Oryctolagus cuniculus: one gene and its partners. The protein of the gene in region 6 purifies or fractionates together with the protein of the main gene of each other region. This does not show direct contact. Links are inferred from orthologs where the notes say so. Each region holds a gene or a part of one and is shown on either strand. Other genes may lie near its edges. The genes, in order: SF3A2, PRPF19, XAB2, SF3B1, SF3A1 and PLRG1.

Evidence for each region.
Region 1: the proteins of PLRG1 (region 6) and SF3A2 purify together in Homo sapiens (affinity purification with mass spectrometry; 3 studies listed by BioGRID and IntAct, with this or other methods). This does not show direct contact. The link is inferred for Oryctolagus cuniculus from reciprocal best matches to the Homo sapiens genes PLRG1 and SF3A2.
Region 2: the proteins of PLRG1 (region 6) and PRPF19 purify together in Homo sapiens (affinity purification with mass spectrometry; 8 studies listed by BioGRID and IntAct, counting the BioPlex papers as one, with this or other methods). This does not show direct contact. The link is inferred for Oryctolagus cuniculus from reciprocal best matches to the Homo sapiens genes PLRG1 and PRPF19.
Region 3: the proteins of PLRG1 (region 6) and XAB2 purify together in Homo sapiens (affinity purification with mass spectrometry; 3 studies listed by BioGRID and IntAct, counting the BioPlex papers as one, with this or other methods). This does not show direct contact. The link is inferred for Oryctolagus cuniculus from reciprocal best matches to the Homo sapiens genes PLRG1 and XAB2.
Region 4: the proteins of PLRG1 (region 6) and SF3B1 purify together in Homo sapiens (co-immunoprecipitation; 3 studies listed by BioGRID and IntAct, with this or other methods). This does not show direct contact. The link is inferred for Oryctolagus cuniculus from reciprocal best matches to the Homo sapiens genes PLRG1 and SF3B1.
Region 5: the proteins of PLRG1 (region 6) and SF3A1 fractionate together in Homo sapiens (co-fractionation; 3 studies listed by BioGRID and IntAct, with this or other methods). This does not show direct contact. The link is inferred for Oryctolagus cuniculus from reciprocal best matches to the Homo sapiens genes PLRG1 and SF3A1.

Annotation. Positions count from the first base shown.
Region 1 is NC_091447.1:59,110,251-59,114,377, forward strand, and holds the start of SF3A2 (splicing factor 3A subunit 2), read left to right. Parts: upstream 1-1,327; 5' UTR 1,328-1,483; intron 1,484-2,107; exon of another isoform or gene 2,108-2,214; intron 2,215-2,505; 5' UTR 2,506-2,539; coding exon 2,540-2,665; intron 2,666-2,772; coding exon 2,773-2,844; intron 2,845-3,234; coding exon 3,235-3,281; intron 3,282-3,466; coding exon 3,467-3,576; intron 3,577-3,842; coding exon 3,843-3,892; intron 3,893-4,002; coding exon 4,003-4,127. Other genes in the region: PLEKHJ1 (pleckstrin homology domain-containing family J member 1), read right to left, coding at 39-155, 244-307, 438-528, 602-668, 758-825, 904-997. UniProt on the Homo sapiens protein: Component of the 17S U2 SnRNP complex of the spliceosome, a large ribonucleoprotein complex that removes introns from transcribed pre-mRNAs.
Region 2 is NC_091432.1:11,685,777-11,689,856, forward strand, and holds the start of PRPF19 (pre-mRNA-processing factor 19), read left to right. Parts: upstream 1-1,280; 5' UTR 1,281-1,503; coding exon 1,504-1,522; intron 1,523-3,233; coding exon 3,234-3,383; intron 3,384-3,492; coding exon 3,493-3,569; intron 3,570-4,080. UniProt on the Homo sapiens protein: Ubiquitin-protein ligase which is a core component of several complexes mainly involved pre-mRNA splicing and DNA repair. Required for pre-mRNA splicing as component of the spliceosome.
Region 3 is NW_027208201.1:3,941,837-3,946,052, reverse strand, and holds the start of XAB2 (pre-mRNA-splicing factor SYF1), read left to right. Parts: upstream 1-1,416; 5' UTR 1,417-1,512; coding exon 1,513-1,563; intron 1,564-2,481; coding exon 2,482-2,630; intron 2,631-2,941; coding exon 2,942-3,065; intron 3,066-3,253; coding exon 3,254-3,451; intron 3,452-4,093; coding exon 4,094-4,216. Other genes in the region: protein PET100 homolog, mitochondrial, read right to left, coding at 1-34, 200-232, 405-491, 1,177-1,203. UniProt on the Homo sapiens protein: Involved in pre-mRNA splicing as component of the spliceosome. Involved in transcription-coupled repair (TCR), transcription and pre-mRNA splicing.
Region 4 is NC_091434.1:42,860,595-42,863,957, forward strand, and holds part of SF3B1 (splicing factor 3B subunit 1), read left to right. Parts: intron 1-2,492; coding exon 2,493-2,709; intron 2,710-3,363. UniProt on the Homo sapiens protein: Component of the 17S U2 SnRNP complex of the spliceosome, a large ribonucleoprotein complex that removes introns from transcribed pre-mRNAs.
Region 5 is NC_091452.1:23,649,577-23,653,076, reverse strand, and holds part of SF3A1 (splicing factor 3A subunit 1), read left to right. Parts: intron 1-1,248; coding exon 1,249-1,323; intron 1,324-1,988; coding exon 1,989-2,139; intron 2,140-2,445; coding exon 2,446-2,639; intron 2,640-3,482; coding exon 3,483-3,500. UniProt on the Homo sapiens protein: Component of the 17S U2 SnRNP complex of the spliceosome, a large ribonucleoprotein complex that removes introns from transcribed pre-mRNAs.
Region 6 is NC_091439.1:11,048,617-11,052,116, reverse strand, and holds part of PLRG1 (pleiotropic regulator 1), read left to right. Parts: intron 1-985; coding exon 986-1,039; intron 1,040-1,846; coding exon 1,847-1,940; intron 1,941-2,149; coding exon 2,150-2,237; intron 2,238-3,421; coding exon 3,422-3,500. UniProt on the Homo sapiens protein: Involved in pre-mRNA splicing as component of the spliceosome. Component of the PRP19-CDC5L complex that forms an integral part of the spliceosome and is required for activating pre-mRNA splicing.

The DNA of each region.
Region 1 (4,127 bases), on a different chromosome or scaffold from region 6:
CCAGGAACCCCTCCCACGCAGGCTCGGCCGGGCCGGGGTCAGTCCAGCGCGTCCAGCCCGGGCCCGGGCCCGGTGCCCGCCGGCCGCCCGTCGCTGGGCGGGCTGCTGATCTGGAAGCGGGCCTCCGCGGAGATCCCGAACTGCTCCAGGGGGTCCTAGGGCGGCGGGCGGGGAGACGCGGTGACCCGGGGCCCGGGGCCGGGAGCCCCGCCCGCCCGGCCGCCCCGCACGCGCCCCCCGCACCTTGCCCGTCATCTTCTGGATCTCATTCCGGTAGAAGATGAGGCTCCTCCGCATGACCTCGTAGCTGCGGGAGAGGCCGTGCCCGCGGGGTCAGGCCGCCGCCCCCGCCGCGCCCGCCGCGCCCGCCGCCCCCGTCGCGCCCGCCGCGCCCGCCGCGCCCGCCGCCCCCGCCGCCCCCGCCGCCCCGGCCCCACCTGGCCCTGCGCAGCGCCTCCGTCCACTGCCGGCACTGCTCCTCGCTGCCGCACTCGAACACGTACTTCCTCTCCGGGTCCTCCAGGAAGCCTGCGGGAGCGGCCGCTGTGGGTGCCCGCGCCCGCCCCGCGCCCGCGCCGCCCCGCCCGGCCCGCGCACTCACCGATGGAGAAGCTCCGCGCCTCCTCCTGGGCGACCCGGCAGCGCTCCAGCAAGAGGGCTCCGACGGGCTGCGGGCACACGCGCCGTGAGCGGGGCCGCCCCGCGCCCGCGCGCCCCGCGCCGCGCCCCGCCCCCGCGCCCCGCGCCCCGCGCCCACCTCGGCCTCGTCCGTGCGGAAGTAGAAGAGGAAGTTCACCACCAGCTTCACCAGGCGCCGCTTCAGCACTGCGGGCACACAGCGGGCTCAGGGCGGCCGCGCGCCCCCGCGCCCCCGCGCCCCCGCCCGCGCCCGCGCCCGCTCACCGCTGCCCTTCTTGGGGCCCCGCATGCCCAGCTCAGCCGCCATCTCGGCCGGCTGCCGGGACAGCGCCTGCAGCTCCTTCTCGTTGTAGCGCATGGCGCCGGCGCTGCCCGGGACCGGGAACGCGCGCTGCTAGCTCTGAGCCCTCTCGGCCGCCGTCCCCGCTCGCGCCAGAAAGATCCCAGGTCGGAGCCCCGGAAGCGCCATTGCGCCTGCGCGCCACGGGCGAGTCTTGCGCGCTGCGACCGCGGCGTGCTGGGGCGTGGGTACACGCCGGGCAGCCGCGACACAGCCGCGGAATAAAGTGGGTCTGAGGCGCAAGCAGGATCGAAGGACCGCCGAGCGCGGGCGGACGGGGCGTTACCGGTTCCCGCCCCCGCCCCCAAGAGCCGACGCGGGTGCGCGCGCGGAGCGCGTTGTGCGCAGGCGCGCCTCGGGCACGCGCATGCGCACACTCGAGGGCCCGTCCTCCCTCCGGAAGTGCTGCGAGCGCCCGCGCCGCGCGTGCGCACTGCGACGTCGTGGCGGCGGCTCCTGAGGCGGACGGCGGAGGCCTGCGACGCGGGGCGCGACCCACACGAAGTAGGCGCGGGGGCCATCGGGGCCCCGGGGCGCCCAGGGTGGGCTGGGGGCGCGGGAGGGAGGGGCCGGGGCGGGCGGCGGGCCCCACGGCGACCCCGGCCCTCCGGAACTCCGCGGCGGGCGTCGCGGGGGTCGCGGGGGTCTCGCGTCCGTCCGGGGCGGGCTCCGGGGTCCGGGGAGCGGCCGCGGGCCTTCGGCTGCTCGGCGGGGCGGGCCCGGGCCGCGGGGCCGCGCGCGGGGGTGCGTGCCGGCGTTCCCGCCAAAAGCCGCCGGGACCCCCGAGGCCGCCCCCGCTGGCGCCTTTGTCGTCGTGGGGGTCGGTCGCGGGCGCCCGGGGGGCTGCGGGGCGTCCCGGGTGCGGACGGCGATGCGGCTGCGTCTTAGATTTCCCTCCCGCAAGCCTGCGTGCCCGGGGCCGCGTCTTCCCCTCGGTCCGCTGTCCGACTGTCCCTTCGCGTGGTTCCCCCTCCCCCAGCCCTGAGGTCCTGGGTTCGCGTCCCGATGGAGGGGCTGTGGGGCCGCCAGGGCTCGTGCGTGGACCGCGGGCGGGCCCGGGTCGCCCTGGGGTCAGCCGGGGGCGGCTCGTGCGTGGACCGCGGGCGGGCCCGGTAGCGCCCTGGGGTCAGCCGGGCCGCCCGCGCCGTGCCCGGAAGTCGGGGTCGCAGGGGCGGGGTCTCCTCCCGCCGGTCCAGTCCCCGGAGGCCGGGCCGGGCCGGGCCGGGTCAGAGCAGGTGCGGGGCCCGGGCCGGCAGCCAGGACTCGGGCCAGTGCCCGAATGGGGCCCGAGCGGCCCCTGCCGTCCACGGGGAGGCCCAGCCCTGGCTTAGGGGCATTGGGGAGTGGACGGCGGGGGGGCGCCAGGCGGTCGTCCGCGCCCCCGTTCTCCCCGACGCCCGCGGCTGGGCCCGGCGGCTGACACGGGAGAGCCCGCGTGGGTGCGCCCGGGAGGGGCTGGGGGCTGCCTCCTGGGGTCTCCGGCCCCCGCCGCGTCCTGAGGGCCCCCCCCGGTCTGGGCTCCGCAGGCTTCTCCGGCGCTGAGGTCCGCAGGCCGGCACCATGGACTTCCAGCACCGCCCCGGCGGCAAGACCGGGAGTGGGGGCGTGGCCTCCTCCTCCGAGAGCAACCGGGACCGCCGCGAGCGCCTGCGGCAGCTGGCCCTGGAGACCATCGACATCAACAAGGTAGGGCCGCCCGCCCGCCCCCCCGCGGGGCGCCCCCGACGCCCCCGACGCGCCCGACGCCCCCGACGCCCCTGACGCCCCTGACGCCCCGCGCCGCTCTCCCCCAGGACCCCTACTTCATGAAGAACCACCTGGGCTCCTACGAGTGCAAGCTGTGCCTGACCCTGCACAACAACGAGGTACTGGCCGGCCTGGTACCCTGCCCCCGCCCCTGCCTGCCCCCGCCCCGCCCACCGGCCGGCCTGAACCCCTCGCCCCCGCCCCGCCCACCGGCCGGCCTGGCCCCCCCCCTCCACCGGCCGGCCTGATCCCCCCCCTTCCCGCCCTGTCCACTGGCCGGCCTGGTCCCCCGCTCCTGCCTGCCACCGGCCTGGCCCCGCCCCCAGCCGGCCTGATCCCCCCGCCCCCGGCCTGACCCCCGCCTGCCGCTGCCCCACCCCCCGGCCGGCTTGGTCCCCCCCTCCCGCCCTGTCCACTGTTCGGCCTGGTCCTCCCCCACCCCGCCTGCCGCTACCCCGCCCACCGGCCTGGCCCCGCCCCCGGCCTCATGTCCCGCCTCCTCCACGCAGGGCAGCTACCTCGCACACACTCAAGGGAAGAAGCATCAGACCAACTTGTGAGTGCCCCCCGCGCCCCCCGGCTGTGACACGGGGGAGGGCCCCTTGACCCGCCCCCCAGCCGCAGGGCCCCGCCCCTCACCCCCCCCGCGGGAGCCCAAGGCCGGGCAGGGGGGCTCCTGCACCTGCGCCCGTGGCCTTGGCCTGGTGTGGAGGACCACAGCGCCCGTCTGCCCCGCCCCAGGGCCCGGCGCGCAGCCAAGGAGGCCAAGGAGGCGCCCGCCCAGCCCGCGCCCGAGAAGGTCAAGGTGGAGGTGAAGAAGTTCGTGAAGATCGGACGCCCTGGCTACAAAGGTGAGGGGGCGGGGCCGCCCGACACCAGCCCTGGGCGGGGGGGGGGGGGCAGGCGGGGACAGGCGAGGCCCTGGGCAGGGAGGGGCAGGCGGGGACAGGCGAGGCCGTGGGGCTGTGGGCAGGCGGGGTCCTGGGCACGGAGGGGCAGGCGGGGCTGTGGCGTGCAGCCCTGGGCCGGCCCTCTGAGCTGGGACCTGGGCCTCACCTGCCGCCCTGGGCGGGACGTGGGGCTGCGGGGGGGCCCCTCACCGGCCCTGGTGTTGCAGTGACCAAGCAGCGGGACACGGAGATGGGCCAGCAGAGCCTGCTCTTCCAGGTGGGCGGGGCCGCGGGGTCGGGGGGGGGGCCGCGGGGGCGGGGCCGGGTGGGGGCTGCGGGGGCGGGGGGCAGTGGGGGCTGGGGGCCCCTGACACTGCCCGCCCGCAGATCGACTACCCCGAGATCGCCGAGGGCATCACCCCCCGGCACCGCTTCATGTCGGCCTACGAGCAGAGGATCGAGCCCCCGGACCGGCGCTGGCAGTACCTGCTGATGGCCGCCGAGCCCTACGA
Region 2 (4,080 bases), on a different chromosome or scaffold from region 6:
ATTGGCTTTGATTTCCATTAGAGTCAGGCAACACTCCCACCAACAGAACAAAGGAAGTGTCCAAGGGTTTGGGCAGAGGAGGTTGGCTTCATGGAGTTGAAAACAAAACAGAAAGAACAAAATGTGAATTGGTAACCCACTTTCCTTGGAGGGCGGGGACAGGGAGACTGAATAAGGTAAAAAATGATGGATTCATCAGCACCAGATGACTTCAGGTCACTGTTTGTAAGGATTAAAGCAGAGAGCTTATCAGAACCGTCATTATGCCTGCTTAGGGAACTTGCCCTGTTTAGGGACCACACTGGGTTGTTTAGGGAACATAGCTGTTATCTCGGTTTAGTAACTGCTTGAAAGATCAGATAACAATTCAGTTTGGGTTTGGCAACATGAACAGCCTCATCGTAAGGGCTTCCATCTGACCTGGTCCGTCAGGGTGCAGAGCAGAAGCCTCTGTGGTCTTCATGTTAAATATACCCTTTTCAGTAAAAATATAAAATCAGGAAGAAAAGAAACATACCCTGGTTATCACTTCCTCTATTTACAGCCGAAGAAACAGAGGCGTAGAGTCCGTACCGTGGACCACCTGTGTGGAGCTGGCATTTGGGCACAGTTTGACTGTCGAGTCCACGCTCTTGCCCCCTCCGCCATTAATTCTTCTCCCCAAGCCTGTGCTCACGCTGTTGCCCCTTCTAGAATACTCCATTCTCCTTCTTCTCTGACAATGCCCACCTGCGGAAGTCCAGCGCAGAAGTCTTCGCTGACCACACCTGTCCGTCCTACACCTTTGTCTGCTTCCCTACGTGAATCTCGAGAATATCCCATTTTACTGATCCCCACGAAGAACCAGACACTATCCGAACTGCAAGGGACCTAGAAGGACGAAGGGGCGGTGAAGCCGGCAACTTGTCTAAGACCACCGAGCAAACTGTGGTAGGAGTAGGGCCTTCAATTTCTTGGACAGTGTTCCTCTCCCTGTGCTTTCTTCACCAGGTCGGCCAGCAGTGTCTCTCAAAGGGCAGCCCAGAAAACACCTGCCTCAGAATTACGTGAGGCACTTTCAGACTTTCTAAGGCAGACCCGAGAAATCTACATGAGATTCGAAAGACTGCATTCCAATAGCTCAGTACAGAACGACTAGCCCTTTAAGTTCCCATTGCACTATGGGAAGTGTAGTTTCGGATCGCCTCTCCGCTGCTTGCCCCGCCCCTGAAGGCTTCACGGAAGAAGCCGAGTGAATCCGGAGACAGCCGATTGTCCCGGGGCGGGCTCTTTCCTGTGCCGTTGCATTCTGGGAAAGGGCAGTTTCCGTTAGGTGCTGAAGGCTGAGGCGCGCGACCGGCCACACTCCCACGTGAAACGCTACGCGGGCATCGCTCCGCGGGGTAGCTCCCTGCTTACCGCGGAGCGTCCGGAAGCAGCGGGGGAACCGGAAGTAGCCCGCAGAGGCGCCGAAGGTAGACCCGGAGCCCTGAGTAAGGCGCCTCAGAGCGCTGCGTCGGCGCCATGTCCCTGATCTGCTCTAGTGAGTACTGGCCGCTGGCGATCTCAGGTCGCAGGAGGCGGGAGAGAGGAGAGGGCTAGTGTGCAGGCCGCTGCGGCGCCGGGGTCGGGCGGAGGCGGGAACGGGCCGCCTGTCAGCACGGGGTGCTCTGCCCCTTACGGCGGCGTGTATTTGGCGCAGTGTTGGCGCAGTTTACTTATCACCTCAGGTTTATTGTCGCAGGGGTCACTTGGGCCCACTGGGCAGGCCTGGGCAGAGGAGCTGGTGCAGGGGAAGCCGCCGTGGTGTAGGAGCCAGGAAACCTGAGGATTTGTCCAGCAGCAGCCTTCGATCGGCCTTGCGATGTGGCGCGAGACGCTGGGCCTCAGTTTCCCCGTCTGCGAGACTGAGAGCATTGCGTTGGGTCTCGTCGGAGGTCTCGCACGGATAGTTGGAGCCTCTGCAGTTTGCGAAGGTCACGCAGGGAGCGAGAGGCCGACGGGGCTGGAAGCCAGGTGTCCGGCTCCCAGCCGCGCGCTGTGCATGACTGATAAAAAGAGCACACACATTGGTTTACAGCACGCTTCCAAGCCCACGATCTCGTTTTGTCCTCGCAGGAATTCCCTGCGGGAGGCGTACAAATGGGACTGTAGGGCTCGGGAGGAGTGGGGCTCCTGTGGAGGGGCACAGCCAGTGCCCGCGAGAGCTGGTTGATGGGGCCAGACTGACAGCGGACCGATTATTGTCTGGTGCAGACGACTAGGCCCAGGCAGTCATAGTGAACAGTGTCGCAGAGCTGCCTTGAAGAGATTAAGTGACCTCCTCTGCCCGGAGACCTTCGGCCTCTCCCGACGTGAGCCAGTCTCCCCTGAGTGATGAGATTCCAGAGGACGCATCCGTGATCCATGTATTTCTCTTGGAGAGCCTGTGTTGGGATAGATAAGGAATTCAGCGATACCTCCATTGCCACCACGCTTGGGTTGGGGGTGCAGAGAGAGAGGGGGCAAGAGACACTGAGCCTCAGCCTGCTTCTGGTTAGTCCAAAGTGTTGCCCATGCCGGACTGCCACACCTGGAGGTGCCCCCTCCTGAGCCCCGGCCCGAGCCTGCACTCATCCACCCGATTTGTTGGGTGCTGCAGGGCGTCTGCGTTGGACTGAAGTACCAGACGGGCTGTGCTCACTGCCCTTCAGGGGGGCACTGTCTCCCAGGGCAAGAATGTGTATGAGAACTGCTTGGAGGTTGTTGGGGGGACAGGTGCACCTGTGTGAAGTGCTTAGCATCCTGGCCGGCACGGAGTGAGCACCGTGTAAATGGTTCTGGTACCCTGGTGTCTGTCATGCTGCTGTGTAGTCCCTGTGTCTCCTGATCCAGTTAGGGTTGTGACTGAGGTGGATGGCAGCTGCCTGAATGGCTTCACACGCTCTCCAGGGTGTGGAGAGTAACTCTCTGGTGTGGGTCCCCAACTACCTGTTGAAAATGAGATGGCAGGGCTTATTGACTGCATTCTGGGTGCCCAGTGCATAGGAGCTGTGTAGTAGTTAATTTTTGACCACCCAGGCTTTCGAGAGACCAATGGAGAAGCCACATAGGTAGCTGGAGAACATTTAGGGGCTAGCCTAAAGCTGCCTTGGCATCATGTGCTTCCCCTGAGTTGAGTGGATGTGGGGACTTGTTGGGCTGGTGGCAGTTAGGAATCCCCTCGGCCCCAGATTGTCTTTCATCCCAAGCCTACTGCCTGCCTTTCTCTGCAGTCTCCAATGAAGTGCCAGAACACCCGTGCGTGTCCCCCGTCTCTAATCACGTCTACGAGCGGCGGCTCATAGAGAAGTACATTGCTGAGAATGGTACAGACCCCATTAACAACCAGCCTCTCTCCGAGGAGCAGCTCATCGACATCAAAGGTACCCGTTGGTCGGCCTCAGTGTGGGCCTCTTGGCTCAGAACCTGAGGTTGGGGTAGGGGGGTTGCCTGGGTTACAGGTTTTCACACCTGACTTTCCTCTCTTGGCAGTTGCCCACCCAATCCGGCCCAAGCCCCCCTCAGCCACCAGCATCCCAGCCATCCTGAAAGCCTTGCAGGATGAGTGGGTAAGTTCCTGGGAGAAAGCTGATGTCTCCCCCACTCAGAGAGAGTATATCCCTGGACTAGGACGTGGGGTGGGGGAAGGCAGCACAGGGGGAGCTTGGTGGTGAAGTCACACAACCTGGATCCCACGCTTCTCTCTCTCGCTCATGAGCAGTGTGACTGGATTTATTGCTCTGAGCCCTGATTTTCCTGACTGTATCACATAGATTGGTGCCTGGCTTAGAGTTTCTGAGGCGTAGAATAAAACTAGAGTGTCCACTTAGTGACATCAGGGGAGTACTTTTTTTCATCAGTGTTTTGCCAGCACCGAGAGCAGTGTCTGGGACATGGTAGGTACTCGGTAAATCCCAGCGAGTGAAGGAATGCGTGCGTGCATCTTGGGATGGGCACGTTGTCTCACACGATGAAGGTGGTCAATCCACAGCAGTAGCATTATCTCCTTTAGAGAGACAACAGTGTGACGTCCATGACTGACCAGTAAATTAAAGAGTATGGTGATGGGAAAGAGCTGGC
Region 3 (4,216 bases), on a different chromosome or scaffold from region 6:
GGATCCTCTCTTTGAATTCTTCGAGCTCTTGGCGCTGGGGGAGGGGAAGCAGGTGGGCACGCGGCTCGGGACCTGGGCCCCTCTCCCACCATCTTCTCCCCTACTTCCTCAGGCCACGGCTTCCATGTCCAGTGGGGACCGCCCCACCCCCACCATCACAGCCAGGGGCACCTGGGGGGAGGGGGAGTAGCTTGCTTACCTGGCCCTCCTTTTCCGGTGGCCACAGCTCTCTCTGTGGGGACAAAGTCACAGACAAGGGCGCGGGCCAGGAGCTTCCCCAGCCCCGCGCCCAGGGCAGTGCTGAACCAAGAGAGGCAGACATGGGTCCCCCGGTAGGTTCCTGTCCCATCCCCTCCCCCCACCCCGGGGCATTCTGACCCGTGAGCACTCCTCCGGGTGCCCACCTTGCGCTGCACGACATAGTCCTCGAACCAGTTGGCCTGATTGGAAATCCAGAACATTGCCACAGGGAACGTGAGGTACAGCGTCATCTGCAGAGTTGGGGGTGGGCGGGTGAGTAGAAGCTGGGATGGCTACTACCACCCCCGGTAACACGCAGCGTGGCTGAGAACGGACGGCCCACCCCCCTGCCCAGCCCAGGTGCTCCAAAATCGCCACCAAGGGTGCAGAAGCCTCCCACCTTAAAAGCTCACCCCACATCACCCCAGAGTCCTTATCCCTGACCACCCTCTCCAGGCTGCGAGTCGAAGACACACATGTGCAACGCACAGGCACACACGCAACTGCTCCTAGCGCCGCAGCTGCTCCTATGACAGTCAAAGGTACCCCCTCGAAACCTCATCACCCACCCCCCTCATTCAGATACCTGGAGCACCTGAAACCCCCGGAGGCCTCTCCGCACGTTTCCTGCCCTAAGACTACTAGGGTCACCCAATCAGAGCCACAACCACGCCCACCATGAGCCCAGGAGTCCCCTCAGGATCTGAAACTTTTCCTTCTTACAGCCCCGTCCTGGGCTCACCAATCCCTACGAGATCAAGGCTCCCAAAGCCCCCAACCCGGGCGCCCCACTCCGAGCCCCTCAACCTAGCCGCCCCCTCCTCTGGATTTCCAAACGTAAAGGCCCTTTCCAGTCTCGAGAGCTTTCTTCCCAGGGCACTTCCTCTCTGTAGTTCCCCCGATGCAGCCTCCCAACCCACACCTGTGCTCACTGACCCGAAACACTTCCAGCTTCACCCCCATCTCCGTTTCTCCAGGTCTATAAAGCCACTTCCGCCCACAGCGGACTCTCCAGCAAGACAGCAGTTCACTGGTGTTTCGCGAAATACACTGCTGATGCTGATTGGTCAATGAGCTCCAGGATGTCGTAATCTTCAGGCGCCTCTACTCGACTTCCGGTCACTGGCGGCGCCTACACGGAAGTCAACACCGAGGGCCGCGCTGTCAAGAAGCGTTCAGCCAATAGAAAATGGGTCTGGCTCGAGGGGCGGGACTTTTCATAGGAGACGTCATAAGTGCGCGACTCTCGCTTCTACCTGGACAGCTAGGAAAATGGTGGTGATGGCGCGCATCTCACGGCCCGAGCGGCCGGATCTTGTCTTTGTGAGTCCGCGTTGGGGTAGGGGTGGCCCCTGTAGGGATATATGCACCTGAATGTCTTGAGGTATGGGAGCATGGCCTTCCGGGGGACTTAGGCCAAAACTGGGAACGCAAAGGCTAGGGGACCCTAACGGGCCAGAGGCCGGCTAGTGATGTCTGTCTTGGACTGGCCAGGAGTAGAGCTCCGGGGTCGAGCCCGGATCCCGGTGGCCTGCATAAAGAACTGCTGTGGAGGTTAAGGGCCTGGCGTCTCGGGTTGAAGGCTGAAATGGCGGCGCACGGGAAACGGGAGGAGGATTCGCCCAAGTGGGCCTTGAAAATTAGAGTTGGTGACCAGGCCAGGGCTCTGATTTCTGGGGTAACGGTTTGTTGCCCGAGCTAGGGGAACCCTGCGGTGTGGAGCTTATCGGGCGGAAGTCTTGATGTCCGAGTAGAGGCCTGGCATCACCCCGAGATTCTTGGCGTCCAGGGGTTAGGGGCTCCGTGTCTGGCCCATACCTTCTGAAATAAAGACCTAGCTTCCAGGTTCTGGGGCAGAGCTGAGCCAGACACTGGCTGTGGGCCAATGACTTAGTAGCTGCACCTGACAGTTCCTGTGGCCGAGGTGGAGATGGCGTCAGGTGCGAGAGTCTAAGCACCTGGCGTTTGGGGAGAGGCATGCAGTGAGGAGATACTGTCCTGTGCTGCTCACAAGTCCGACGTGTAGACCAGGGCCCTGGTGTCTTGGTGACCTGGGACAGAGGGTGGGTGGCGGGATTTGGAGGACTCGAGTCCTGGTGACAGCGTTATGTCTGGAAGCCCGGCGGTCTGAGGAGTCTGGGTGTGTGATGACCTGGCTCGGACGGTGGGCTGGGGGGGCCTAAGGGGTGGCGCTGCTTCCCGGCTCTGAGGGCAGATCTCCCTTCCTCCCGGCCCCTACAGGAGGAAGAGGACCTCCCCTACGAGGAGGAGATCATGCGGAACCAGTTCTCCGTCAAATGCTGGCTGCGCTACATCGAGTTCAAACAGGGCGCCCCGAAGCCCAGGCTGAACCAGCTGTATGAGCGGGCGCTCAAGCTGCTGCCCTGCAGGTGGGGCCCCACCCACCCACCCGCCCCTGCCCCTGCCCCTGCCCCTGCCGGTGGGGCCCCGCCCACCCGCCCCCGCCCCTGCCCTGCAGGTGGGGCCCCGCCCACCCGCCCCCCCCCCGCCCCTCCCGCCCCTCCCGGTCCAGTTACGACAGAACTGGCAGGTGGCTCCCAGGCAGCCGCTCTGCTCGTACCCTGATGCCTCAGTCCGTGCCCCCTGTATTGCTGAGACAGGTCACCCCTCCCTTGTGCCCTGGGGCAGGGCGAGGGGTTGTTGACGCCGACCCATCAGCGTCTGGCCCCTCGTTCCCCAGCTACAAGCTCTGGTACCGCTACCTGAAGGCGCGGCGGGCGCAGGTGAAGCATCGCTGTGTGACCGACCCCGCCTACGAAGACGTCAACAACTGCCACGAGCGGGCCTTTGTGTTCATGCACAAGGTGGGCTCGGCGTGGCTGGGCAGGGGTGGGAGCTCCGTGGCCTCTGTGCCCCGTGGTCGGGCTGGACTCTGCCCTGGAGCTGGGGCCTCTAGGTCCTGCACTTGTGTCGAGGCCCCAGAGGCAGCTTGGCCACGGGACACTGGTGTCTGTCACGGCTCACAGCTGGCTGCCTCCGCCCACGCATGCAGATGCCCCGTCTGTGGCTGGATTACTGCCAGTTCCTGATGGACCAGGGCCGCGTCACACACACCCGCCGCACCTTTGACCGCGCCCTCCGGGCCCTGCCCATCACACAGCACTCTCGGATCTGGCCCTTGTACCTGCGCTTCCTGCGCTCACACCCCCTGCCGGAGACCGCTGTGCGAGGCTACCGGCGCTTCCTCAAGGTGAGTGCATCAGGTGGGCCAGTGCCCTGTGTGGGATGGGAGGAGAGGGCTCCCGGAGACACACAGCTTCTGCTCGTGACTTGTTTCTTCATTTTCTAAGTAGTTTGCTGGCCCCTGCTCCACATCAGCCTAGAACCAGGTGCTGGGATCAGTGTGAATAAACCAGTCCCCACCTGCACGGAGCTTCCAGTCTAACTGGGTAGACAGGTGCATTCAAGCTGACAGCTAAGCCAGGATAAGACCCCAGCCATGGTGAGGGCAGGAGGTGGCTGGGTGGGGCTGGGGCAGGCAGGGTTGAGAGAGCAGGTGCGGGTAGGGTGGGGTGCAGTTTGGGCAGTTGTGCGCCACGAGCCAGCACAGCACTGCTGGGGTGGGGGGATTGTGATGAGAGCAAGGCCTGGTCTGGGCAGGACCCACGGGGCCCAGGCTAGACCGCTGTCATCAAGGCCGGACCAGTGGGGCCGAGGTGGATGGAGGGCTGGAGTGGTCAGGAGTGAGGGAGGGCTCCCGCGGGGCTGGGAGGCAGGGGGGCTGACTGTTGGCCAGGTCAGTGGCTCCAGGCCCAGAGCCTGTACGGGGCGGGGGGTGGCGCGTGTAGCCCCACAGCCCCACTGATCGTCGGTGGGGTCGGGCGGTCCCCAGCTGAGTCCTGAGAGCGCAGAAGAATACATTGAGTACCTCAAGTCGAGCGACCGGCTGGATGAGGCCGCCCAGCGCCTGGCCACCGTGGTGAATGATGAGCGGTTCGTGTCCAAGGCGGGCAAG
Region 4 (3,363 bases), on a different chromosome or scaffold from region 6:
CTCACCCCATTTTTAATTACTTTTCATATCTGTTAGACAATACTTTTTTTTTTTTTTTTTTTTTTGACAGGCAGAGTGGACAGTGAGAGAGAGAGACAGAGAAAGGTCTTCCTTTTCCGTTGGTTCGCCCCGCAATGGCCGCTGCGGCCAGATCCGAAGCCAGGAGCCAGGTGCTTCTCCTGGTCTCCCATGCAGGTGCAGGGCCCAAGCACTTGGGCCATCCTCCACTGCACTCCTGGGCCACAGCAGAGAGCTGGCCTGGAAGAGGGGCAACCGGGACAGAATCTGGTGCCCCGACCGGGACTAGAACCCGGGATGCCGGCGCCACTAGGCGGAGGATTAGCCTGTTGAGCCACGGCGCCGGCCAGACAATACATTTTGAAAAGCAGTAATTGATCGTTTGTTTTAAAAATTAGTCAAATATAATTAGAGGAAATGATAAGCAATAGTTAACATGGCAGAGACCTGATCTTCATGATTTTTATTACAGATTAAAGAAATTTCGCTTAAGCTTTTGACCTACTGAATATGGCTTGCCAGAACCACACTGTTTTCCATTGCAGACCCCTGGTGGTTCAGTTGGTGTCTCTCAATACAGTATTACTCAAATTAATTTGACAGATTTCTTTCTTTCTTTCTTTCTTTTTTTTTTTTTTTTTTTTTTTTTTTTGACAGGCAGAGTGGACAGTGAGAGAGAGAGACAGAGAGAAAGGTCTTCCTTTTGCCGTTGGTTCACTCTCCAATGGCCGCCGCGCTGCGGCCGGCGCACCGCGCTGATCCGATGACAGGAGCCAGGAGCCAGGTGCTTTTCCTGGTCTCCCATGGGGTGCAGGGCCCAAACACCTGGGCCATCCTCCACTGCACTCCCTGGCCACAGCAGAGGGCTGGCCTGGAAGAGGGGCAACCGGGACAGAATCCGGCGCCCCGACCGGGACTAGAACCCGGTGTGCCGGCGCCGCTAGGCGGAGGATTAGCCTAGTGAGCCGCGGCGCCGGCCGACAGATTTCTAATACCTTGTACCATTTAGACCGATGTAACCTTAAACACAAAAGTAACTGTAGGTGATGTTTATGAAGCAAAGGTGGAGAACCTTTTTTCTGTCAAGGGCCATGTAGATATTTATAACATCATTCACAGGCCATAAAAAATTAACTTAAAAAATTAGCCTGATGTAGATTTACTGAGTTTCGAGTCCTGCCTATGATTGTCTTGGCAAGACCAGACCAAATCATTTTGCAGGCCTTGTATGGCTGGTGGGCTATACCTTCCCCATCACTGGCATGAAGAAAAGAAGAAGGTCCATATAATAGGGCAAAGAATTGTTTCACTGGCTCATTATTTTACAGGAGAGATAAATTACTTAAGTTAGAGCCCATTCAGTTTCTATTATGTGCAGATTAAAGATAACCCATTGGTGACCTTCTAAGAGGGCATTTTAACTGTAATTGACAAATTATCAGAAGCTTTATTTGCAAGACATGGAGACAAAATAAGAACTGTTTTCTGGAAGAGGTTGGCCACCTACTGTGGAACAAAGTGAGGGTGAATCATCCTTGAAGTACATTGTTTGGTGAGAAGTACCTGAGCATCATAGGGTCATTGATAAATGTGAGCTGCAGTTAAAAATTATGTTCTGTGTACTAATAAGGTAGTAACTCCATCAAAAATTGTGAAATCAGACGAATCAATACTTTAGTGGGGAAAAATTATGAATGAAGAACTTTGACACTGAATAAATCAGACATTATAATAAATGAGAACAATAAGGATGTTAGTAAATACAAATTGTTTTCTTACACCTTGAGGTGTTCTTACTATCTTTGGGGCAGAGTGTGTGAATTCATTTTTTTTATTTTTTTTTTTTATTTTATTTTTTTTTTTTTTGACAGGCAGAGTGGACAGTGAGAGAGAGAGACAGAGAGAAAGGTCTTCCTTTGCCGTTGGTTCACCCTCCAATGGCCGCCGCGGCCGGCGCGCTGCGGCCGGCGCACCACGCTGATCCGATGGCAGGAGCCAGGAGCCAGGTGCTTTTCCTGGTCTCCCATGGGGTGCAGGGCCCAAGCACCTGGGCCATCCTCCACTGCACTCCCTGGCCACAGCAGAGGGCTGGCCTGGAAGAGGGGCAACCGGGACAGAATCCGGCGCCCCGACCGGGACTAGAACCCGGTGTGCCGGCGCCGCTAGGCGGAGGATTAGCCTAGTGAGCCGCGGCGCCGGCCGAATTCATTTTCATACCCATCACAAATCTGATTGTGTTACCTGATGCTTATACTCAATTATAGAAGGATTTTGATTTGTCATAAACATAAAATCAGTTAACCTAGGAGATGATGTTTTTATGTAGGTTTTTGTATAGGTTTGAAAGAATTGTTTATCTTTTTTCCTCTCTAGAAATTGAGTCTTGAATTAAGTTTCTAAATTCTTATGAATATTTCCTGTAAAACTAAGGAACTAACACTATCTTAACAATGAATTCTTTCTGTCCACTGCAGGGACCTTGTACACAGGCAGACAGCTAGTGCAGTGGTACAGCACATGTCACTTGGGGTTTATGGATTTGGTTGTGAAGATTCACTGAACCACCTGTTGAACTACGTATGGCCTAATGTGTTTGAGACATCGCCTCATGTAATTCAGGCTGTTATGGGAGCTCTGGAGGGTCTGAGAGTCGCTATTGGCCCGTGTAGAATGTTGCAATATTGTTTACAGGTAGGTTAAAGTTTTTTTTAAAAGATTACTCAACAAGAAAAGTAATTCTGTTCAAAATACTAAATTAAGTTGTTATTCTGATTATTGAAAGGATGTATTGTGTCCATAAGGGGAGGCTTAGATATTATCTTTGCCATTGTAATTTTGTTTTAAAAGATTTATTTTATTTATTTGAAAAAATTACAGGGGCTGGCGCTGTGGTACATCTATGGCACTGGCATCTCGTGTGGGCACTGGTTCGAGTCCCAGCTACTACTCTTCGTATCCAGCTCTTTGCTATTGCCTGGGAAAGTAGAAGATGGCCCAAATATTTGGGCTCCTGTTACCCGCATGGAAGACCCAGAAGAAGCTCCTGGCTCCTGGCTTTGGATTAGCCCAGCCTTGGCTGTTGTGACCATTTGAGAGTGAACCAGTAAATGGAAGGCCTTTCTCTGTCTCTCTCTGTAACTCTGCCTCTCAAATAAATAAATAAATAAAATCTTTTAGGGGAAAAAAAAAGGGAGAGAGAGAGGTCTTCCTGCCACTGGTTCACTCCTAAGCTGGCTGCAACAGCTGGGGCTGAATCGGGAAGAAGCCAGTAACCATGAGCTGCTTCTGGTCTGCCACATGGGTCTAAGGGCCCAAGCACTTGGGCCATTTTCTGCTGCTTTCTCA
Region 5 (3,500 bases), on a different chromosome or scaffold from region 6:
ATTAAAAGTCTAACGTGAAAGGACTTGGATTTTCTCCAGCTTCAGTCATGCCAAGCATATAACTAGAAAGAACTGTAAAAATGTGTGTGTTTAGAAAATAACCAAATCTAGGAGCTGTGAAGGTAGCTGAAGTAACAATTATTGAAGGCCAAAGCGTGGCTGTAAATGCGCAGTATCGGTTTTCAGTGGCTCTGGCTTCATTTCTCCTTTAACACTTCACAGTGTTAAAGGTCTCCAGACCCCTTTTCGTTTACTTTTATTTATTTATTAGAGATCCCACCTGCTGGCTTATTCCCCAAATAACCTGCAACGAAACTGGGAGCCAGGAACCCAATCCTGATCTCCCGCATGTGTGGCGAGAGCTCAGTTATGTGAGCCACCGTTGTGCCTCACAGGGTCTCCATTAGCCAGAAATAGAGTCAGGAGCCAGAGCCAGGTCTCACACCCACCAGGTACCTTGGAGTGGGACGGGGGCGTCTTAGTTGGCATCTTTCCAGCTAGGCTAAGTGCCTGCTCCCAGAACCCTCTTCATTCTGTTACTTTCCGGGTTCTTTCCTTCACCTTGAGTGTTGGCGTTTACTGCTGTAATTTGAGGGCACAGGTGTGTCTCGAGCCGTGGAAGACTTGGAGCAGATACATCCCGGGGCAGAGGTAGCGAGAGTGGTAGGGCTGGGCCACTTTGCTTAGAACACAGGCTGCGTGCGCTCTTTCAGTAAATGCGCACTGAGTGTCAGCCAGCACTTAAGGCGCTGGGATGTAACTGAACAGAGCCCCAGTTCCTGTCCTAGTGGAGTCTCTAGCTTAGTGAGGAGGAGACAAGTGCAGTGCCCATGTGCCTCAGATGGTGCTGCACACTGTGGGGAAGAAGGCAGGGGTGGGGCGGGAGGGGTGCTCCGTGGAGTCAGCAGTAGCCTGAGGAGCACTTGCAGAGGGACAGCAGATGGGTCTCCTGAGAGCAGCTGTGTTCTGGGTGGTCTACCAGGCTTCAGATACGTGTTCCTGCTAATCCTTGGAACGACCTTTTTAAGTCGACGGTGCTGACTTTAGGTGGGGTTGTTGCTATTTTATAGAAGGAAACCAAGTTCCTAGGGCTGAGTAACTTGGCCAGAGTCCCACAGCCAGCTGGAGCTGGGATTGGGACCCAGAATCCCCCGCTTTCCCATCTCCTGCACCTGAGCCCAGGCCAGGAAGGCCCCTTCTTTGTCCCTGGTTGACATACTGACAGGGGCTTTAACTCTTCCGTTTCAGATTCTGATTCCACCCAAAGGCTTATTTACAAAGCTCAAGAAAGAGGCTGAAAACCCCCGAGAAGTTTTGGATCAGGTAAACTCGGTGTGATTTCTTGCAAGCAGTTACTAATGGTACGAGCTCCACCACATGAGTTCCGTTTGGTGCTTGGACACAGGCCAGGCGGCAGCGCCCTGTTCCGCTCCAGGCTTGGAATGCTGGGGTGAAAGGCCTTGTGGCCACAGAACCAAAGAAACCTGGATCCCCTGTGTTTCCCAGCGTGGCACTGCTTTCTGTTCCACTGTCAGTTTTAACAGAGCTCCCTCTTTCTTCTCTGTCTCGAAGGCCACCCCCGGCCCTCCAGTGGCAGATGCCCTTTGAAGCCCTCAGGTTGTCAGAGTCCAGGAGGCACATTGGTGCTGGCTGGTTTTAATTGCTATGTGAAGGCTTCTGTTTCTCCCACTGCTGTTTCCCTTGAGGCCACAGGCTTCCTGGAGGTTTTGCCACCCTGGGAGGCCTGAGCTCCTTGCCAACTCAAGCAGAAATCTTGGGTCCCAGATGGAGGGTTTCTGTAGCATTTAGAATTTCCGTCCTGTCCGGACTCTGGGCTTGCTGTAGTTTGCTTCAGGAAGTTTCCTTTGAGGGCAGAGGAGCATCCTGCTCTTAAGGAGTTGCTGGCTTTGGTGGAGGCCCTGGGGGTTAGAGCCTCCCTGGGGGCTGAGCCATCCACCTCTGTGCCATGCTGTTGCCCCTCCCTGCAGGTGTGTTACCGCGTGGAGTGGGCCAAGTTCCAGGAGCGCGAGAGGAAGAAGGAGGAGGAGGAGAAGGAGAAGGAGCGGGTGGCTTATGCCCAGATTGACTGGCATGATTTTGTGGTGGTGGAGACAGTGGACTTCCAGCCCAATGAGCAAGGTAGGTGTGAGGAGAGCCTCCAGACGGGAGCCAGGAGCTCGGCGCCGGCCCTGCCCTGGAGACCCGGTGGACGTGTTCCCTGGGAGCAGCGGGATCCCCAGCGGCTTTTTCAGTGTCTGTCTCCTCTCTGTTGCCGGAAGACTTCATTTCTACCGCTTTGCCTGAGCTAAATCCTGGTCACCAGATCGTGCTGGGCATCTGAGGGCAGAGAAATCGGACACATCCCCAAGCTCTCGCCTCCAGACAGATGGGCAAGGGGTGGCCTTTGGTAGGGCAGCCCTTTGACTTCGGCTCTCCCTGTTCCAGGGAACTTCCCTCCCCCCACCACGCCGGAGGAGCTGGGTGCGCGCATCCTTATTCAGGAGCGATATGAGAAGTTCGGGGAGAGCGAGGAGGTTGAGATGGAGGTTGAGTCTGATGAGGAGGATGAGAAACAGGAGAAGGCAGAGGAGCCTCCTTCCCAGCTGGACCAGGACACCCAGGTGCAAGACATGGATGAGGTGAGCTCCCGGGCGGGCCTGCGGGTGACCTCTCCCCTGCAGCTCCCGGCGGTCGGGCTGACGTCCACCAGGACCAGCGATGGCCTGGGAGGCGCAGGCCCGGCACGAGGCCAGGCAGCTGCTCAAGCCCAGGCAACTCGGAGCCTCTCTGCAGCTCTGAAAACAGGTGCATTCGCAGGCCAGGATCTAGAAGCTGTGCCGACCCTGTTCTGTGGCCTTCCCCTCGACCCAGAGGCACTGCACTCCCTGCCCCACTGCAGCCCTCGCCTAGGAGCTCCCTGCACCGCCCCATGCGGGTGCATTTAGCCAGCCCCGGATGATCAGCAGTTCCAGAGCTGTTCTAAACGTGGTGTGCACTCCTTCCAGACGGCCCTGCCCGTGCAGCCCAGGCCTTCCGAGCAGCATAGTCTCCAGAGCTACCCTGCTCTCCCCCCTCCAAAAAGAATTTGTGTGCAGCCCGAGAAGAAAGGGCCCCTGTGTCTGTGGGAATTGACTTTTTCGCTCCCTCCCAGCATTGCCCTGTGAGCGGCTGCATTGAGTACTGACTCACGCCCGACACCCCTCCCCAGTGTGTTAAGTGCCCTTGGCCTCTTGGGACTGCCTGGTGCCAACTGCTGGAAGTGCCTGGGAGGAGTGTTAGCGCATGGCCCCCAGCGCTCCCATTCATGCTGTGAGGAAGCAGCTTGGCCTGCTGCCGGCTGGCCTCGGCTGCCCTGCGAGGCTTAGCACGTGGACATGGCCTGGCGGGGGCCAAGACTCTTTGCTATCCTCGGCTTCCGGGGCTTAGCCACAGGGAGGTGGCTCTGTGCCCTCTCTGAGACCTACCATGGCTTTGCATTTCAGGGTTCAGATGATGAAGAA
Region 6 (3,500 bases):
TACCTAGCCTTACTGTAATTGAGAAAGATGAAATTCAAGGACAAATTGAGTAGCCCATAACAAAATGCTCGAGGCCAGACGTGTTTTGCATTTCTGATTCTGTTTTTTCAGATTTTGGAATATTTGTGTATGTGTAAATCTAAACACAAGATTCTTTATTATGTTTCGTATATACCTTTTATTGATAACCTGAAGATAATTTTATTCACTGTTTTTAGTGTGCCTGCTTCACATGAGGTTAGGTGTGGAATTTTCGGTGTCACATTATTTCAGTATTTTAAGTTTTAGAGCATTAAAATCTAAAAATCTAAAGGTTTTAGATTTTTGGATTATGGATACAACTTGTGCAATTGTAATGAAGAAAAGACTCTAGATTCCACAGGAAGCCATTGCCTTTTGCTTAGAAGAAAAACTGGAGTGGATTGTCATTTAATAAGCTCACTCTGTGGCACCATCACTGTAGCAAATGCATGAGCCTTTTTGAACTCATGTCAGCAACTGGGCAAGGACGTAGCCGTGTACATGATTTATAGAGGTCAAAGCAAACATGATGGACTGGGCATTTGGCCTGTTGGTGAAAACACCACTTGGGATGCCTGCATCTCATATGAGAGCCTGGGATGGAGTCCCAGGTCTGCTGCCAGTTCTAACGTTCCTGCTAAAGTGTAGGAGACAGCAAGTGATGACTCATGAGACTGTGTCTGGGCAGCCCGTACAGGAGACCTGGCTTGAGTTCTCAGCTACTGGCTTTGGCCTGGTCTGTCCCTGGCTATTGTGGGCATTTTGGGGGTGAAGCAACAGATGAGAAATTCTCTCTGCTCTCAAATAACATGTAAATAATTTTGAAAATATGGTCAATATCTTGTATATCTGAGATTGCAGTTTAGTTGGGAAAATTTGAGAAATCCAGTTGATGATATGGATGTATTTAAAAAGATAACTTGTGTATAAGATAAATTCACCATTGATTAATTTTTCTTTTTAGGACAAGAAGTTGAGTATTTGGTGACAGGTACACATCCATACCCACCAGGACCTGGTGAGTGAACTATGATTACAGAAATTGTCTTATTTTATTGTCACAAATATTTCCTTGAATGAGGCAATAATGACATTCGAATTACCTATAGAATACAGGTTAAACTCAACAGCCCGGCATCCACACATAGCTTTTTAGAATATAACTAACTAATATTTATATACAGTAATTTAGCAAACATTATTAAACTCTTATATTTTTTCAAGCATTGTGCTAGGAATTCACAGACGATAAAACTGCTCCAAGCCTAGAGAAATTTGTTGGCTGGTGGTTTAGAAAGGCATGTAAATATCACTGACCACATGAATGAAGAATTGTTAGTGTTGAAATATGTACAGTGGGAAGGTGTCCCCCGGGTGTGTGTGTGTGTGTAGAGGGGTTGGCACATGGACACTGTGACTAGCATAATAGGGTATGGCACAAAGAGCTTAATATTGTAGAAAATGCAAGGGAGCTGGCTGCTTCTGATGGTAGTAACTTAAATTCACTCCTAGAAGCTCAGTATTTAAAGAAATGCTTGGTTTTTACTGTTGAAGGTAATTCTGGAATTTCACAGAAATTTAAACTTGGCTTTTTTGGGCTGCTTTAATACCAAGCTGCTTATGAGCAGGTCAAACATGAGGTATGTGGTAAGTGTATTTATTGTTAAAAACAAAGACAAGCAAAATTTCATCATCCAATTTTTGTGATATCACCACTTGAAGACAGTAACTTGTGTATGTTTTCCTCTGGTGCTTTATTTCAAATGCATGTAAATGAAAACAAAGATAGCTATGAGAAGAGTTTTTTTTTTTTTTATGTTAATAGGGGTTGCTCTGACAGCAGATACTAAGATCCAAAGGATGCCAAGTGAATCGGCTGCACAGGCCTTAGCAGTGACGTTACCTTCTTCTCAGACCAGGTATGAAGTGCTGTGCGTGTAATTGTAAAGATTTTGGAAGTGCATTATACTTTTCACACTTTTTTCGTTATTTACATTTGTTTCTTTATAACACATATTATATGATATTTTCCTTTGTCAGGGCTTAGAAAAATTTGAAATAAAAGGATTGGTTTTGCAGGATACATGGTGGAGGCATTGCTCACAATGTGCAATTTTCTTTGTCTCAGGGTTGATGCCAATCGTACTGCACCTGGCGGGGGTGAATACCGACTTCCTGGTGCTTCGGATCGCACACAGCCTGCAGTGGGGAATGCAGTAAGTTTCCCTGTGTCAGATAGCACTAAAGATTTCCAGCTCTCAGAGTGTGCTGCCTTATTTATTTTTATCCCAAAAGTCTTACCTTAAATATTAAAGAAATGAACACATCCTTGGAATTAAGGTAAATAGCATCCTCAGGTAGTTGTTAATGCTTCATATCCCTAAAACTAAGTTGTTAGTAAATAAGCAATTTTTTTAGAATTTAAAATTTTGTATTTCTGTGTCCATTTGCACATGTACATACTATGTATTTGGTGTGATATTGATATTAAAAATGCAAGGAGTATTATTCTGAAACTTGGGTCATATTTGAAAGGTTTTTTTTAATTAAACTTTAAGATGATGTGCACAGGTACAGTTGAATGCTAATGGTGTGTAAAAATTTATGGGCTATAAAACTTGTCTTAAAAATGAACATTTAGAAATACATTAATTTTATCTGTGAGTAAATGACAATTGGGGCTAGTATAAGTGAGAATTGTAGAAAGAACAACTGAAAATGTGCTATTATCTGAAATAAGTGTGGGCTTGGCTTCCTCAGTTTCCTTTGCGGTTGATTTGGCTTTATGAAGTGAATGTATTTGTGACTTTCATATGCCTTGTTTTTCTTTTTAATCTTCCATTTTCCAGGCTTTCTGTCTCTTCATGAGGTTGTAATTTAAGCTTCTTAAGGGCAGGAACTTTATGGGCTGAAATATTTTGGGGATGAATAGATAGATACTAATAATATATTTTAAAAGTTATCAGCTAGTTTATCTTTTGAAGTAATGTTTAAATATTATATTAAAAGGTTAGTAGGAGCTGTCAGTCTCTCCTTTGCTATATTGAATCAGTAATAATAAAATTCAACAGTGGAAATACACTTAAATGACTTCGGTGACATGGGAGCTCGCATAAAGCATGTACAGTATTTTAAATCTTTATAATAACCCCATGATACAGCACTGTTCTTCCTGTTTTGCAAACAAGGCGGCTAGTAGGCTTGCATTTTGAACACATACACAGTGATATCTGTGTGTAAATGTTCTGCCTCTCTGGTTTTTTTTTTAATTGGTTTTTAGAATTAACATACAGAAAATACAGTACTGATAAATATCTTATTTTAGCTTCCTTTTTTTAATTGATCACATGAAACCTTTGGTGTGATATGTTTAATATAATGTAATTTATTCCATATCTAGATGATTGTGGAGACTGGCAATACCAAGAACTCTGCACTAATGGCTAAAAAAGCCCCTACAATGCCCAAACCCCAGTGGC